Diceros bicornis minor: one gene and its partner. The protein of the gene in region 1 interacts with the protein of each later gene in a pairwise test. Links are inferred from orthologs where the notes say so. Each region holds a gene or a part of one and is shown in the gene's direction. Other genes may lie near its edges.

Region 1 (5,950 bases):
TGCCTCCACTCACCATATACACACCCGCTCCAGCAGCATTAGCAGGCAGAGTGGGCAGTCGGTGCAGGGGACCTGGGGGGGAGGAAGGAGAGTGGAGGAGAAACTGTTGATTCACGGTGCTGGAAGGAGCCTTAGAGAACATCCAGTCCAATGGTCTCATTGTACAGATGAAGAAAATGAGTCACGGGAGCCGGCCGCCAGCCAAGGTCACAGAGTGAGAGACATGCAGATCCCCAGACTCCCAAGCTAGACAGATTCTTTCTGCTGGACAGCGGGGCGGGAGGGGCCAGAGGATGGATCCCCAGCCCTCCCACCTGGCCCCTCCTTGGCCCCCCTTCAGCAGTGATGGGTGCGAAGTGACCCCAAGGCCAGCCAGAAGCCAGAGGCCTAGGGGATAGACTGGAGATGGAAATGGACTCCCTGAGGGGCAGTGTCTAGACGCTTCCAGAAAGACCTGGTGCCCCTCACCCCATGCACTCTAATTACTGCTGCCCACATTTTTAGTTCCCAGCAGGCCCAGCGACTGGTGCAATCCGTCAGCTGTCAGGCCTCTCTGGGGAGCTCGGGCAGTTGCCTGAAGACTCCAGCGCTTTCTCTGAGGCTGGGCCAGCAAGGGAGAGAATGGCTCAGCGCAGTTGGCAAAGAACTGCCGAGGGTGTGGCTATGCGGCCAAGGCCTCAGGCACAGTGCCAGGCTGGGAGGCTGGGAGGCTGGTCTTGGGGCTGCGGCAGAGTACCCCAGACTTTGGGGCTAGGGATGATGGGTGGGCCCTTGTGATTAAGGAATCCCAGACCCTGCAGTGCCCATCTACCTCCAGTCCCCCTGGCTTCTGGGAAATCCCTGGGGGGTGGACTTATCCTCATAATCTCAGAAAAACTACTCCTGGCAGCTCAGTGCCCCAATGCTAGAGTGGAAGATTGTCAAAGAACATCTGGGAAGGTGGGCAAGAGGAGCTGACGTCAGCCTTTGCTTCTCTTTCCAAGCCCTGTGCCTGGGTGCAGGGGTGCAACCTCCTAGAGGAAGGGCACCTGGGCAGAGCTGGAGGGACCCCAGGGAGCCTGGCCCAACCCTCCCCATCCCGACAGGCAACCTTTGGCTGCACACCTCACCCTGCACCCACAGCCCTCCCTGGACGGCCTGGTAAGTCTCTCCAGCACCAGAATCAGGAGACTCACGAGCCTGATAAGATACTTGGACACTCTATATAAAGTGCGTACATCTGGGTAACTTTCATTAGTCTAAGTCTCAACATCTAAACAATGAAAGGCCCTCCTCCCTTAATAAGGATGGACACTTCACTGAGCACCAGGCACTTCACACACGTTATTGCATCTGAGATTCACCGCTGCAAGATGGGCACATTAGTAGTCATGTTTTGCTGATGGGGACCTGTGGGCTCAGAGAGGTCACAGGCCAGTGAACACCAGCACCCAGATTGAAGCCCAGGCTGTCTGACCCCAAAAGCCAGTTTCTCCCACATACCCTACACCCTCTTACCACCACCCAGAGCCACCCTTGTCCCCTCCCTGTGATTGGCAGGGTGATCTAAGAGTCCCTCAAGAACTGCCCCGTTGAAGATGGATGTGAATTCTCAATTCTGCCTCCCCACCCACCGTGGGCAGAGTGCTGTGCGGGTTGCAACTTGGGTTGCACAACTTCCCCTGGCTGGGGCAGTGGGAATAAATCCTCCCTGTCCTGGTTTCAGGCAGATGAAGGGAGCTATGAAGGGAGCTTGTGTCTGCAAAGCGCTGGCAGCCAGCCAGGCAGCCCCACCCAGAGCGTGACTGGGCCTGGCAGGGCCACACTTGAAAGCATCCATGACCACACCGGACAGCTCCCTCTAGGGTGGGACACCTGGGCTCCAGTCTGGGCCAAGGCGGGCAGGCAGGCGTGGACGAGAGCCCTCCAGGCTCCTGACCTCACCCCGACTTTATAGAGCTGGGGAAAGGTGGGGCTGGGAGTGCCAGGGAGTGAAGGCCTAGGGCTTCCTGAAGCTGAGACCCTTGGGGGACGCCCAGTAGCTCCCAACTCAGACCCACTAGCTCATGACATGATCCAGCAAGGGAGGTGGAGCAGAGGGCATGGGTCCTGTCTGCCTCCCACCCTTGGCCCACGAGAGCCCCAGGAGCTCAGAGGCCTTTTCAGAGGTGACCTCAGATTCATGCCCAGCCTCAGCTCTTTTCTGATGGGGAGCAGGTGGGTAAGGAAGAAGAGCATCCAGGAGCTTTCTCTCTTGAAGAGGAAACTGAGGCTCAGAGAGGGCATGAGACTTGGTGCTACCCCCAACTCATCAAGGCGAGTGGCTCAGAGTCTGGCTTCCAGCCCCTCAGGTGTCCTGGGTAGCAAAAGGCCCCCTACAGAACTGGCAGGAGGTCATCCTCAGCCCAGCCCCGGGAGAGGGGCAGCAAGCAAGAAAGAGAGAAACGGCGGGGGGACTCCAAGATGGGAGCCCTCAACAGCAAGAGCCCTGGGCACTAGAGAGGTAAGAGGCTACTCTGCTAGTGTCCCAGTGGAGACAGTGGGCAAGTCACTTAATCTCTTTGAACCTCAGTTTCCTCATCTAAAAAGGAAAGATCATAGGACATAAGTGGGGAGAAATAAGGCTGGACCAGGGTGGTGCATGTGAAGGCAAGAGAGAGGGACCGTCAGGATTACGGCAGGAGCCTGCGGCAGAGCCCTCTCCCAGAGTTGGGAGATGGGGGCCTGGATCCATAAGTGGTCAGAGAGAGAGGAGGTGAGGTCAAGGGGCAGGCCTCAGGCTCCAGGCAGTGTGAGTGGACTGCGCAGCCTGGAGCCCCCTTGCCCTTTGTGCCATGGGAATCATCAACAAAAAAGGGGCTTTGAGATCATAATCTGCAAAAAGGGAAATTGAGGCCTAGAGAAAGGAGGGGCCTTGCTCCGAATCACAAGTAAGTCCATGGCAAAGCCCAGACTACAGTCAAGGTTGTGGCCCTTCAGGTTCCCTGTGCAGGGCTCCTCAAGGAAGGACAGATATGATGGGGAGACTTCACAATAACCTCCTCCTGACCCCCTCTCAGCACTGGGCCTTGGGGTATCTTACCTGGGCCAGCCCCCCTAGGGGGAACAGAGAAAATGGCCAAACCCACACAAGCACTGCCTTTGCAATAGGGGTACATGCACACTCTCCTTCCTCGTCCCTCTATTCAGTTTCAGGTGGACAAAAATAACAATAACTAATCATTATCATGTACCAGGCCCTGGACTGAAGTCTTTACTTGCATTAAGTTGCTGAATCCTCACACCAACCCAATGATGTAAGCATTATTATTATCATCGTCTCCATTTTCCAGATGGAGAAACTAAGGCACCCAGAGTCTAACTCACACAAGTTCCTCCAATTAGTGGCAGAATCAGGATGTGACCTCAGGCAGTCTGGCCTCAGAGCTCACACTCTGAAAACCCCACCAGCCTGCTTCTTAAGACATTCTTTCACAGACACTCGGTGGTTCAAATCCTGGATCTGCCACTTCCTAGTTGTGTGTCCTGGGACAGGCGGCCCAACCTCTCTCAGCTTTGCCCCCTTGGACAAAAGGATAGGACTGCCCACAGTCGGCGGCCCAGCACTTTAGCGCCCAGGCCTGCGAGTGTCCGGCAGTGAGCACTGCACCAGCATCGGTGCTCCAGTCATCTGTTTTCTTGAACAAGAGAAGGTTCCAGATGTGGGCCGGGCCTTCCTCGTCCCGCCCCCACCCCGGTATGCAGAGGGAGGGATGCGGGGGAGGAGCTGCCCCTAGTCCGTCATTGCCTTTAATAGAGACCTGAAACACCGCCTGCTAAAAATACCCGTCTGGAGGCCTATAAAAGCGCTGCGGGGCCGGGCCCAGCACTTCTCCGAGCCGCAGCCAGACGCGCAGAGCCGAGCAAGAATGACCGAGCGCCGCGTGCCCTTCTCGCTCCTGCGGAGCCCCAGCTGGGACCCTTTCCGCGACTGGTACCCGGCCCACAGCCGCCTCTTCGACCAGGCCTTCGGGCTGCCCCGGCTGCCCGAGGAGTGGTCGCAATGGTTCAGCCACGGCGGCTGGCCGGGCTACGTGCGCCCGCTGCCCGGGGCGGCGATCGAGGGCCCCGGCGCGGTGGCCGTGCCCGCCTACAGCCGCGCGCTCAGCCGGCAGCTGAGCAGCGGCGTCTCCGAGATCCGGCAGACCGCCGACCGCTGGCGCGTGTCCCTGGACGTCAACCACTTCGCCCCCGAGGAGCTGACCGTCAAGACCAAGGACGGCGTGGTGGAGATCACCGGTGAGCCCCCCGCCCCGCGGCGACGAAGCTGGCGGCGCGGGGGTTGGACCGTGAGCCAGAGGCCTGGGCAGTGAAAAATTAGCCAAGGACCGAAGGCCAGAGCCCTCGGCTGGGCCTGGCCTCCCCGCCCTGCCCCCTAGCCCGTGCCCCCTGCTCTAGAATGGGGCCTGCGGGGACCTCCTAAGGGCCTTTCGGCCGTAAAAACGCGCTATTAAGGGAAGAAACGCTCCCTTCCAAGGAGACACCCCCACCCCTCCCCCACACCCACCCCCAATGACCAGGTCTCGCAGCGCCCACCCGCGCCTCCCCCCCCCCTCCGCGGTCAGTGTGAAGAGGACGTTGTCGGCTCTGTCCCTGCCCCTAGCTCTGGTCTGCGGAAGGGGCGTGTGCACGAGCCTGGCGCCACGCCCCCACCCCCCCCAAACCCTGAACTGAGCTTTCCAGAAGCTTCTTAGGGCCCGGGACAGTCCGGGGCCCCCAAATTCCGTAGTCATTTTTCCTCCTCCATGAATCCTGGGGGCCATGAATCCCGGCCACCCGGTGGGGCAGGTGGGGCAGGTTTGGACGGGGGCAGGCCTTTGAGGTGGCCTCTCCCCCCAACCTTTGACCTCACTCTCCCCCCAGGCAAGCACGAGGAGAGGCAGGACGAGCATGGCTACATCTCCAGGTGCTTCACTCGAAAATACACGTAAGTCCTGGTGCCAGATTGTGGGGGAGTGGGGAGGGTGCAGTGACAGACTGGTGTGTAACTCTCGGCTTCTCTCTCTGCATGTCCAGGCTGCCCCCAGGTGTGGACCCTACCCTGGTCTCCTCCTCCCTGTCCCCTGAGGGCACTCTCACCGTGGAGGCCCCGATTCCCAAGTCAGCCACCCAGTCGGCGGAGATCACCATCCCTGTCACCTTCGAGGCACGTGCCCAGCTGGGGGGCCCAGAAGCTGGGAAGTCGGAGCAGCCTGGAGCCAAGTAAAGGCCTTAGCCCTGCTGCCTACCCCCCAGTAGCCACCACTGACCATCCCCACCTGCCAATCTGTATACTCTTTTGATACATTCACCTTCTGTTTTTCTCAAATAAAGTTCAAGTCCCTGCCTGCTACTGCCTCAGACCCTGGTGTTTGTGGAGGCCTAGGGGTCAGTGCCATCTGCTGGCTCACACATTCATCATATTTGCTGAGGGCCTGCTGTGTGCCAAGCCCCATGCTGGGCCCTGTGGGTACAGTGGTGTCCATCACAGGGGCAGGTGTGGGAGCGGGGAAACCAGGAGAGGCACCTGGCCCAGGCTTGGGCCCTCAGGGACACCTAGGCTAGGGTCAGGTGAAGGGGGACGGAGCAGGGCTGAGGGAGGGGAGCTTCCTGGGAGCTCAGAGTCCCTTCCTGACTTCATTATTCTTCCAGATTTGAGCAGGACCCTGTAGACGGTATAGGAGGTGTGGCAACTCCAGGTGACTTTCTGAGGGGAGGTTGGCCTAGTCGAAGGACCTGTTCCCGCACACCCGTGCCTGCAGGGTGGGGCCTGGGCTCTCAGGCCAAGGGCGTCCTGCAGAGAGTGAGGGCAATGTGGCCCGGGTTTTGGTGGAAGAGACACAGAGTCCTAACTGGGAAGGCGGTCACTCCAGGAGGGCTGCCTTGACTGTCCCAGGCAGGAACAGTCACACCCACCTTTGTCTGCCCTTGTCCTACCCACTACCCTCTCACC
Region 2 (8,067 bases), on another chromosome or scaffold:
CTGAGTTCTTACTCACTAATCTTTTGGCTTTTCTTGACCATTTGCTCTTTCTCATTTATCTTAGACTCAACTTCTGAAATTCCTCCAAATAACCTATATTCACTCAAGTTAATGTTGAATGTGAATGACAGAATGCTCAAATAATGGTGATTTAAACAAGAAACAAGTTATTCTTCTCTCTTTCTGTTCCTAGAACAGGTCAACTTTTCTGCTTTGGAACCTTTGCATACTCTTTCTACCTGAAACGCTTTTCCTTAGGGTCCTTATAGGTCACATTCTCAGAAAGTCTTCCCCTGATCGCTCAGACTGAGGTAGGCTCCCTTTGTTATTCTCCATCATAGTAGCCTGATTATTTTCTTCACAGTTTTCATTCATTTACTAACAATTATTCACTGAAAACCTTCTACATGAAAGGTACTGTTCCAAGGACTATGAAATCTGCATTATTTCTCATTATTGTAATTATATGTTTATGGTTTTGCCAGTCCCTCTCACTAGAACATAAGTTCCAAGACCACATCTGTTTGATCATCACTGTATCCTCTGACTTCAGCATAGTAACTAGCGTATAGTCAACAACAAACATTTGTAGACTGAATGCAGAAAATGCTAGCTCAAAATAGTATATTCATTCTCTTCAAGATGAGGGACATGAATGAGGCGATCATTTCAAAGGAGGACAAACTTGATTAGAAAACTGAATTATTAGCCTTCACCAAATTAAACAAATATATCAAAGAGTTTTTTAATTTTTCTTTTCTTTTTTTTGTGAGGAAGATTAGCCCTGAGCTAACATCCGTGCCCATCTTCCTCTACTGTATATGGGATGCCGCCACAGCATGGCTTGACAAGCAGTGCGTCAGTGTGTGCCCAGGATCTGAACCTGGGAACCCTGGGCTGCACAGTGGAGCGTGCGCACTTAACCGCTATGCATGGGGCCAGCCCCAAAGGGTTTTTTTTCTTAACCTCAGAAAACATGGATACAGACTCAGTCTGCAGCTCCCAGCAAGCAGACAACCTCCCTTTTGAACCTCCTTGGTAAGGAACCTCTGCCATGCACACTCTCACCTTTTTCTCCATGTTTCTGCTATACATAGGGTGACCATATAATTTATTGTGCAAATTAAAACCCCTTTGAGAGAAAAAGGTGAGAAATTGACCATATGAAGGAACGGCCAGACCATATATAAAAACAGAACTTTGGCTACCATCTGCAGCAACCAGCTCAGAAAGCCAGCCTACCATCTGCAGCCACCAACCCAGGAAGCCAGCCTGATATCTATAAGTCTGACTTGTACAAAGTTAGATCACTGTCTCTAGCAAACAATCCAGGAAGCCAAACAATAAATCCTGTAACAATTGGCCCCAAGTGGCCAAGACTCCATTAATAACTGACAGCTTCTCTGATTTTTCTCACTGCTTCCAACTTAGGACCAACTAGAGAAAGACAAATATGCTCCCTTAACTAGTCACAAAGGATGCCCTGCTTCTAGTTAGCCCACCTACAGCTTCCCCATGCTCATAGTCTTCAGTCAGGGCACATTTGAAGGCTTCCCTTTTTCAGCTATAAACTTTCCCATTCCTCTGCCTGCCTTTGAGTCTCTGCCAAAATGCCAGTGATGGTGACTGACTCCCTTTCTATTAGAAGTTCTGAATAGTCTTTGCCTGCTCTCATTTGGGTGATTTTCACTTATTTCCACAAAGGGAATACTATTAATAATTAAGCTGGATCAACAGGCAAAAATCAGGGTTGTTCTGAGTAAATCAGGACATAGGTCACCCGATTATAAAGCACAATTAGACAAGGGGCTGTTTGCTAGTGAGATACAAAGTTTTGGAGGGCGAAGGTGTGAACAACAGGTGAAATGTGCCACTACCGCTAGGGGGGGTTGCACCACTAAAGAACGGAGGACGGTTCAATTACCGCAGGAAGTTCTTGAGACGTTTATGCACTGAAGTTACTAGTATTCAGTAATCTTTTTGGTTTAGATGTATGCTACTGTGAAATTGTCTTCAGGGCAATAATTGTCGGATATAATCCCAAGGGAAAAGGTTCAAGCACACCATTATTGGTACCTATATTAACTGACTTTCATTTATTGACTACCGCACCTGATGCAGTAAAGAGGTAAAAAACACACTCCTTGCCTTTAAGAAGCTAGCATTCCAGAGTTCTTCAGGTCCATATGGGTCACCTAATTTGCATGGCCCAGTGCAAAATTAAAATAAGGGGCCACTTGTTCAATAAGTATTAACAATTTCAAGATGGCAACAGCAAGAGCATTAAACCATGTGTGGGCCCCTCCTGAGCACAAAGCCCTTCGTGACTGCACAGGTCACACATCCATGAAGCCAACCCTAAACACAGAATACTACTCTGTGACAAATTATAGACCAATAAACTATGCTGCTTGGTATGTGTTGTGCTGCTGCTGAGCTCTTCAGCCTGTTTTGATTCTCTGTGGTACACTTGGCATGCACAGAATTAAATTACTTTAAAAAGTTACTGGGCATTGACTATATTTGTGCTATTTGCTGTAGGGAATCTTTGCTAAAGTTTAATATAATCAAGCACATATTTTATTTTTTTTCTTTTTATTTTTTCCTTTTACTTTTTTGTGAGGAGATCAGCCTTGTGCTAACATCTGCCAATCCTCCTCTTTTTTTTTTGCTGAGGAAGACTGGCCCTGGGCTAACATCCGTGCCCATCTTCCTCCACTTTATATGGGACGCCGCCACAGCATGGCTTGCCAAGTATTGCGTCGGTGCACGCCCAGGATCCAAACTGCCAAACCCCGGGCCGCCACAGCGGAACGTGGGCACTTAACCACCTGCGCCACCAGGCCGGCCCCTAATCAAGCACATAAATACTTGATCTGATGAAAAGAGATGTTATAAAAAGTTACAATTAGGGGCCAGCCCGGTGGTGCAGTGGTTAAGTTTGGCACACTCCACTTCAGCGGCCCAGGATTTACAGATTCAGATCTCAGGTGTGGACCTACACCACTCAATAAGCCATGCTGTGGTGGCGTCCCACATATAAAATAGAGGAAGATAGGCACAGATGTTAGCTCAAGGCCACTCTTCCTCACCAAATAAAAAACAAAGTTAAAATTATAATTCTTTTGCTTTTCCCCACAAGAACTCAAGCGCAGGGCAGGGACTGAAACTGGTAGGCACTCAATAAACACTTGTTGAATGAATGAGAGGAAGGTTCAACGGGTGGAGCTTTTAACAAAGGGAAATATCAGGAAAGGTTGAAAGGGAGATTGTTACCTAGGATTCTGAAGGTCACAGGTTGGCCAGGAAGAGGGCATTGCAGACAGGAAAAAATGTCAAATAAGCAAAGTGCTGTGTATAATTTATTAATTTGTTTATTATCATTATCTTCCAATAGAACTGTAAGCCCCACAGAAGCAGGAATCTTTTGTTTCTTTACAGCTGTACCCAGTGCCTTTGACATAGTAGGCCTTCAACAAACATTCACTGACAATAAATATAGGCAATGGTACTTAGCTAAAAGCAGAGAACATATACAGTGAAAAACTGAAATGAAGTTGGAGCCAAGTTGACCAATGTATTGAACATCAGAGCGAGAATCTATATTTTATTCAGTGTACAGAAAAGAACCATTGAAAAGAGCAGTGATATGATCTGAACTCTTAACGGAAAATAAGTCAGCGGTATCCTGAGTAAGAAGATAAACGGAAAAGTCAGCGGTATCCTGAATAAGAAGAGAAAGTTATCTGTCAACATCTCACCATCTTATCTTAATTCCATCTCCTCTCCTCGCCTCTCCACACCTTCACACACTACTTAGGCTGCACTTAATATTGTCATAAACCAAATAAGACCTCAAATAAGAATACTGAAAACATTAAAACAAGCAAGCAAACAGAAACTAAAGCTGGCAACTTTCTTCTTTTTCGTCTTCTTTTTGGATTAATAATAATTGTCCCTTGATTTGTGTTTCCTTAACTGCACGATCAACTTCTTGGGGCAAATACATACGTTTAATAAAATCCCGGGCAGTTTCCAGACCAAGATGAAGTCTTGCACTGGATGTGCTCAACAAATTTTCTGGCGAAAATAGCATAAGATCAAAGGATTCCCAAATGGAGCTGATGGTTTAGTTATCGGGGTAAACCAGTCCTTCCTCTTCTGACACCCAGCCCCTTTCTCCCGCCTGATAATGTGGGTAATTAGGTGGAAAACCAAGTATCAGGGTGGCAGTGTGTTTTTATCCTGATTTAATCGTCCTGAAGTGGGGCCGCTGAGTCGCGAGCAGAATAAGAATTTTCAGACACAAGCCGCTCCTTCGTTTGCGCACTTTTATTTTGTGTTCAGCATGGGGACAGGACCCGTGGGCAGTAAGGAGCTGCAGCAAGTGTTCCAGCATGGGGACAGGACCCGTGGGCAGTAAGGAGCTGCAGTGCAAGACTCTGTGCAGGGCCTTTATATACCATTTTTACCTATTTTACTATTGTGGAGAAATGTCAAAAGAGAAAGTATTAGGTGGTCTGGTTAGCCTCAAAGATTAGGGCATGGGGACGGATGAATAAGATGTGTCCTCGCATTCCAAAGTAAAGTTTGCCTCAAGGGACACGTAGGCAGGTGATTAAAGTCACTGATCACCTCCTAAAGTAAATTTCTTCGCTCCTAGCCAGAGGCGATTCAGTAATGCAAGACTGAATGAAGTCTCAGGGAAAGAACTGGAAAGTGTAAAACGAGTCACAAACAAGGTTTCCACAACGTCAGTCCCAAATATCTAGCTTTTAATTTTGTTAGGATTCCAGGCCAAGACTAACTTTGTAACCCAACAGGGTGTGGCTGTTACAGCTGGAACACGACGAAGGAAACAAGTTTACCAACAGACACTGGCGACAGAGCCCAGGTGGGAACCTCCCGGCGGCCACCGCGCGCACGTGTCCGCACAGCCGGGAACAATAAAGTTGAGCTTGTTCAAACGGGGCCTTGTCATCCAGGACCTGTCGGACAAGCCTGCAAAATAAGACTCCTAGAAACTCCCTGATGTTTTCAAGACTTCTCCTCTTTCTCGGGTTTTTTTTTTCCTCACTCGCGGGACAAAAGTCCTGAGGGGAGCGGCGTGGGCTAGGCCGGGCGGGGCGCGTTTCGGGTGCAGCGGGCCCGGCGGTCGCCGCGGGCAGCCCCGGGAAGGTCCCCGGTTCACGTGGAGCCGGCCGCGGGGACAGTGTCCGCGATGAAGCCCAGACCTGCAAGGTTCGTGGATAATAAGCTGAAGCAGCGAGTCATCCAGGTGGGTATTCTGCACGGCTGGGGCTCACAGTGCTCCCTCTTCGTGCCCAAGGGCACCGCTGGCCCTTTCCCGGGCTGCTCCCAGGCCGAACTCCGCTAGCCCCTTGCCCCAGTCTGGGTTCGGGCGTGGGTCTGTTGACAGTTCCACTCCTCCGTGAGGCTTGCGCTCTTCACCGTGGGGCGGGGTTTCAAGGAGGAGCCCCGGACCGTGGGAGGGTGCAGCCTGGTGGGCTTGCTCGGCTCTGATCGACCTCAGCCCAGATCCGTAAGGAGGGTGGAGCTAGCCTTTGAGTTAAAATCTTCCTGTCTTGTGAAGTTAGGTCAGAAACGTTTTTCAGACGCCCACATTGTTACGAGGCGCTTTGGGGGCCACAAAGAATACATTAATTTCTGTTTTCAGGAAACTCGGGGTCAGGTTGCGACACAGTAAGAGTAAGTAACACGGATCTGACGTTATAATAGGCACTTTACCTATGGCTTTTTCGTTTTCTTAATTATCAGTAGAAAGCAATGTGTGTTAAATGTCTTGGAATGCCACAGTCAGCAGGCAGTCTTAGAAGGAGGGGGCGATTTTTCTTCACAATAGACTTTGGGAGCTATATACTCTCCTTTTTTTTTCCCCCCACCTCACTATACAGTCTCCTTTTTGCATCCCTTTCTTCCTACCAGTCTCTAAATGTTGGAAGTGCACGGAGCTCCTGTGCTCTTACCTCCTCTTTCTTCATCCTCGTAGCTCTCTCTTATCTATCCACACTTCCAGGTGATCTCATCCAGTCTAATATCTTTAAATACTGTCTATATATTCATGACTCCTAAATTTATATCTCCAGTGCAGATTTTATCTTGAATTCCAGATTGATATATCCAACTGCCTTCTCAACATCTCCTCTTGAACGTCTGACAGATATCTTCAACATAACATATCCGAAGTGAACTTGTGATATTCTCCTCCAAACCTGTCCTTTCTTAAGTGTTTTCTATTTCAGTAAATGACACCACCATCCATCCTGTTAAGGCCAAAAATCTTAAGAATCGTTCTGACTCCTTTCTTTTGCTTCCTATAACCAATTAATCAACAGTTATTTGGCTTTACCTTCAAAATATACTCCAAACCCAACCACTTTTTACCATCTCCTCCTCCAACCATCCTAGTTCAAACTACCATCTCTCTCTCTCTTTTTTTTTTTTTTGTGAGGAAGATCAGCCCTGAGCTAAAATCCATGCTAATCCTCCTCTTTTTGCGGAGGAAGACCGGCTCTGAGCTAACATCTGTTGCCAATCCTCCTCCTTTTTTTTTCCCCCAAAGCCCCAGTAGATAGTTGTATGTCATAGTTGCACATCCTCCTAGTTGCTGTATGTGGGACGCTGCCTCAGCATGGCTGGACAAGCAGTGTGTTGGTGCGTCCCCGGGATGTGAACCCAGGTCGCCAGTAGCGGAGCGCACGCAGTTAACTGCTAAGCCGCGGGGCCGGCCCACTACCATCTCTTTATTAGACTATTGCACTAACCTCCTAGCTGAGCTCTCTGGTTCTAGTTTTACCTAAAGTCTGTTCCCCAGAGAGTTGCCAAGGAGATCCTTTTCTTTTATTTATTTATTTATATATTTATTTATTTTAGAGCTGTAGAAAATATTTTTATTTATTTATTTTTGTTAAATTGTTTTTTTATTGAGGTCATATTGGCTTTGAACGTTGTGTATTTTTCAGGTGTACATTATTATATTTCAGTTTCTGTATAGATTGCATCGTGTTCACCACCGATAGTCTAGTTTTTGTCTGTCACCATACACATGTGCCCCTTTATGCCTTTTGCCCTCCCCCCACCCCCTTTTCCTCTGGTGACCACTAATCTTCTCCTTATCTATGTGTGTGTGTGTGTTTATCTTCCACATATGAGTAAAACCATACAGTATTTGTCTTTCTCTGTCTGACTTATTTCACTTGTTGCAAATGGCACAATTTTGTCTTTTTATGACTGAGTAGGTTTCCATCATTGTTGATGGGTACTTGGATTGCTTCCCTCACCTTGGCCATCGTGAATAATGCTGCAGTGAGCATAGGGGTACATATATCTTTTTGAATTGTTGATTTCATGTTTTTTGGATAAATAACCAGTAGTGGAATAGCTGGATCATATGGTGTTTCTATTTTTAGTTTTTTGAGAAATCTCCGTACGGTTTTCCATAGTGGCTGCACCAGTTTGCACTCCCACCAGCAGTGTATGAGAGTTCCCTTTTCTCCACATCCTCTTCAACACTTGTTATTTCTTGTCTTGGTGATTATAGCCATTCTGATGGGTGTGAGGTGATATCTCATTGTAGTTTTGATTTGCATTTCCCTAACAATTAGGGATGTTGAACATCTTTTCATGTGCCTGTTGGTTATCTGTGTATCTTCTTTGGAAAAATGTCTGTTCATATCCTCTGCCCATTTTTGATCAGGTTGTTCATCTTTTTGTTGTTGAGTTGTATGAGTTCTTTATATATTTTGGAAATAAACCCCTTGTTGGATGTATGATTGGCAGATATTTCAGGAAGATGCTTTTAAAGGGAAAATTGGAGTTTGCCAGGGCCCTGCTCAGCACCCTTCAGTGGACTCGCAGACATCTGGTGTAAAACCCACCCTACAAAGCCCTACATATTCTGACCATGTCTACTTTTTTGTCCTTTTGCTCTCCCCCTTGCTTACACTGTCCCAACCACATGGATCTTCTCAAACATGCCAAGTGCAGGGCTTGTGCTCTTGTATTTCGCTCACTGAATTACTTCTCCTCTGGATGTTCCCACAACTT

The links.
Region 2: the proteins of HSPB1 (region 1) and NVL interact in binary tests that used the Homo sapiens proteins (3 or more experiments, as listed by UniProt). The link is inferred for Diceros bicornis minor from reciprocal best matches to the Homo sapiens genes HSPB1 and NVL.

What each region holds. Positions count from the first base shown.
Region 1 is NC_080765.1:3,494,553-3,500,502, forward strand, and holds HSPB1 (heat shock protein beta-1), read left to right. Parts: upstream 1-3,828; 5' UTR 3,829-3,887; coding exon 3,888-4,257; intron 4,258-4,881; coding exon 4,882-4,945; intron 4,946-5,034; coding exon 5,035-5,224; 3' UTR 5,225-5,348; downstream 5,349-5,950. UniProt on the Homo sapiens protein: Small heat shock protein which functions as a molecular chaperone probably maintaining denatured proteins in a folding-competent state. Plays a role in stress resistance and actin organization.
Region 2 is NC_080777.1:9,450,551-9,458,617, forward strand, and holds the start of NVL (nuclear valosin-containing protein-like), read left to right. Parts: upstream 1-5,011; 5' UTR 5,012-5,221; coding exon 5,222-5,278; intron 5,279-8,067. UniProt on the Homo sapiens protein: Participates in the assembly of the telomerase holoenzyme and effecting of telomerase activity via its interaction with TERT. Involved in both early and late stages of the pre-rRNA processing pathways.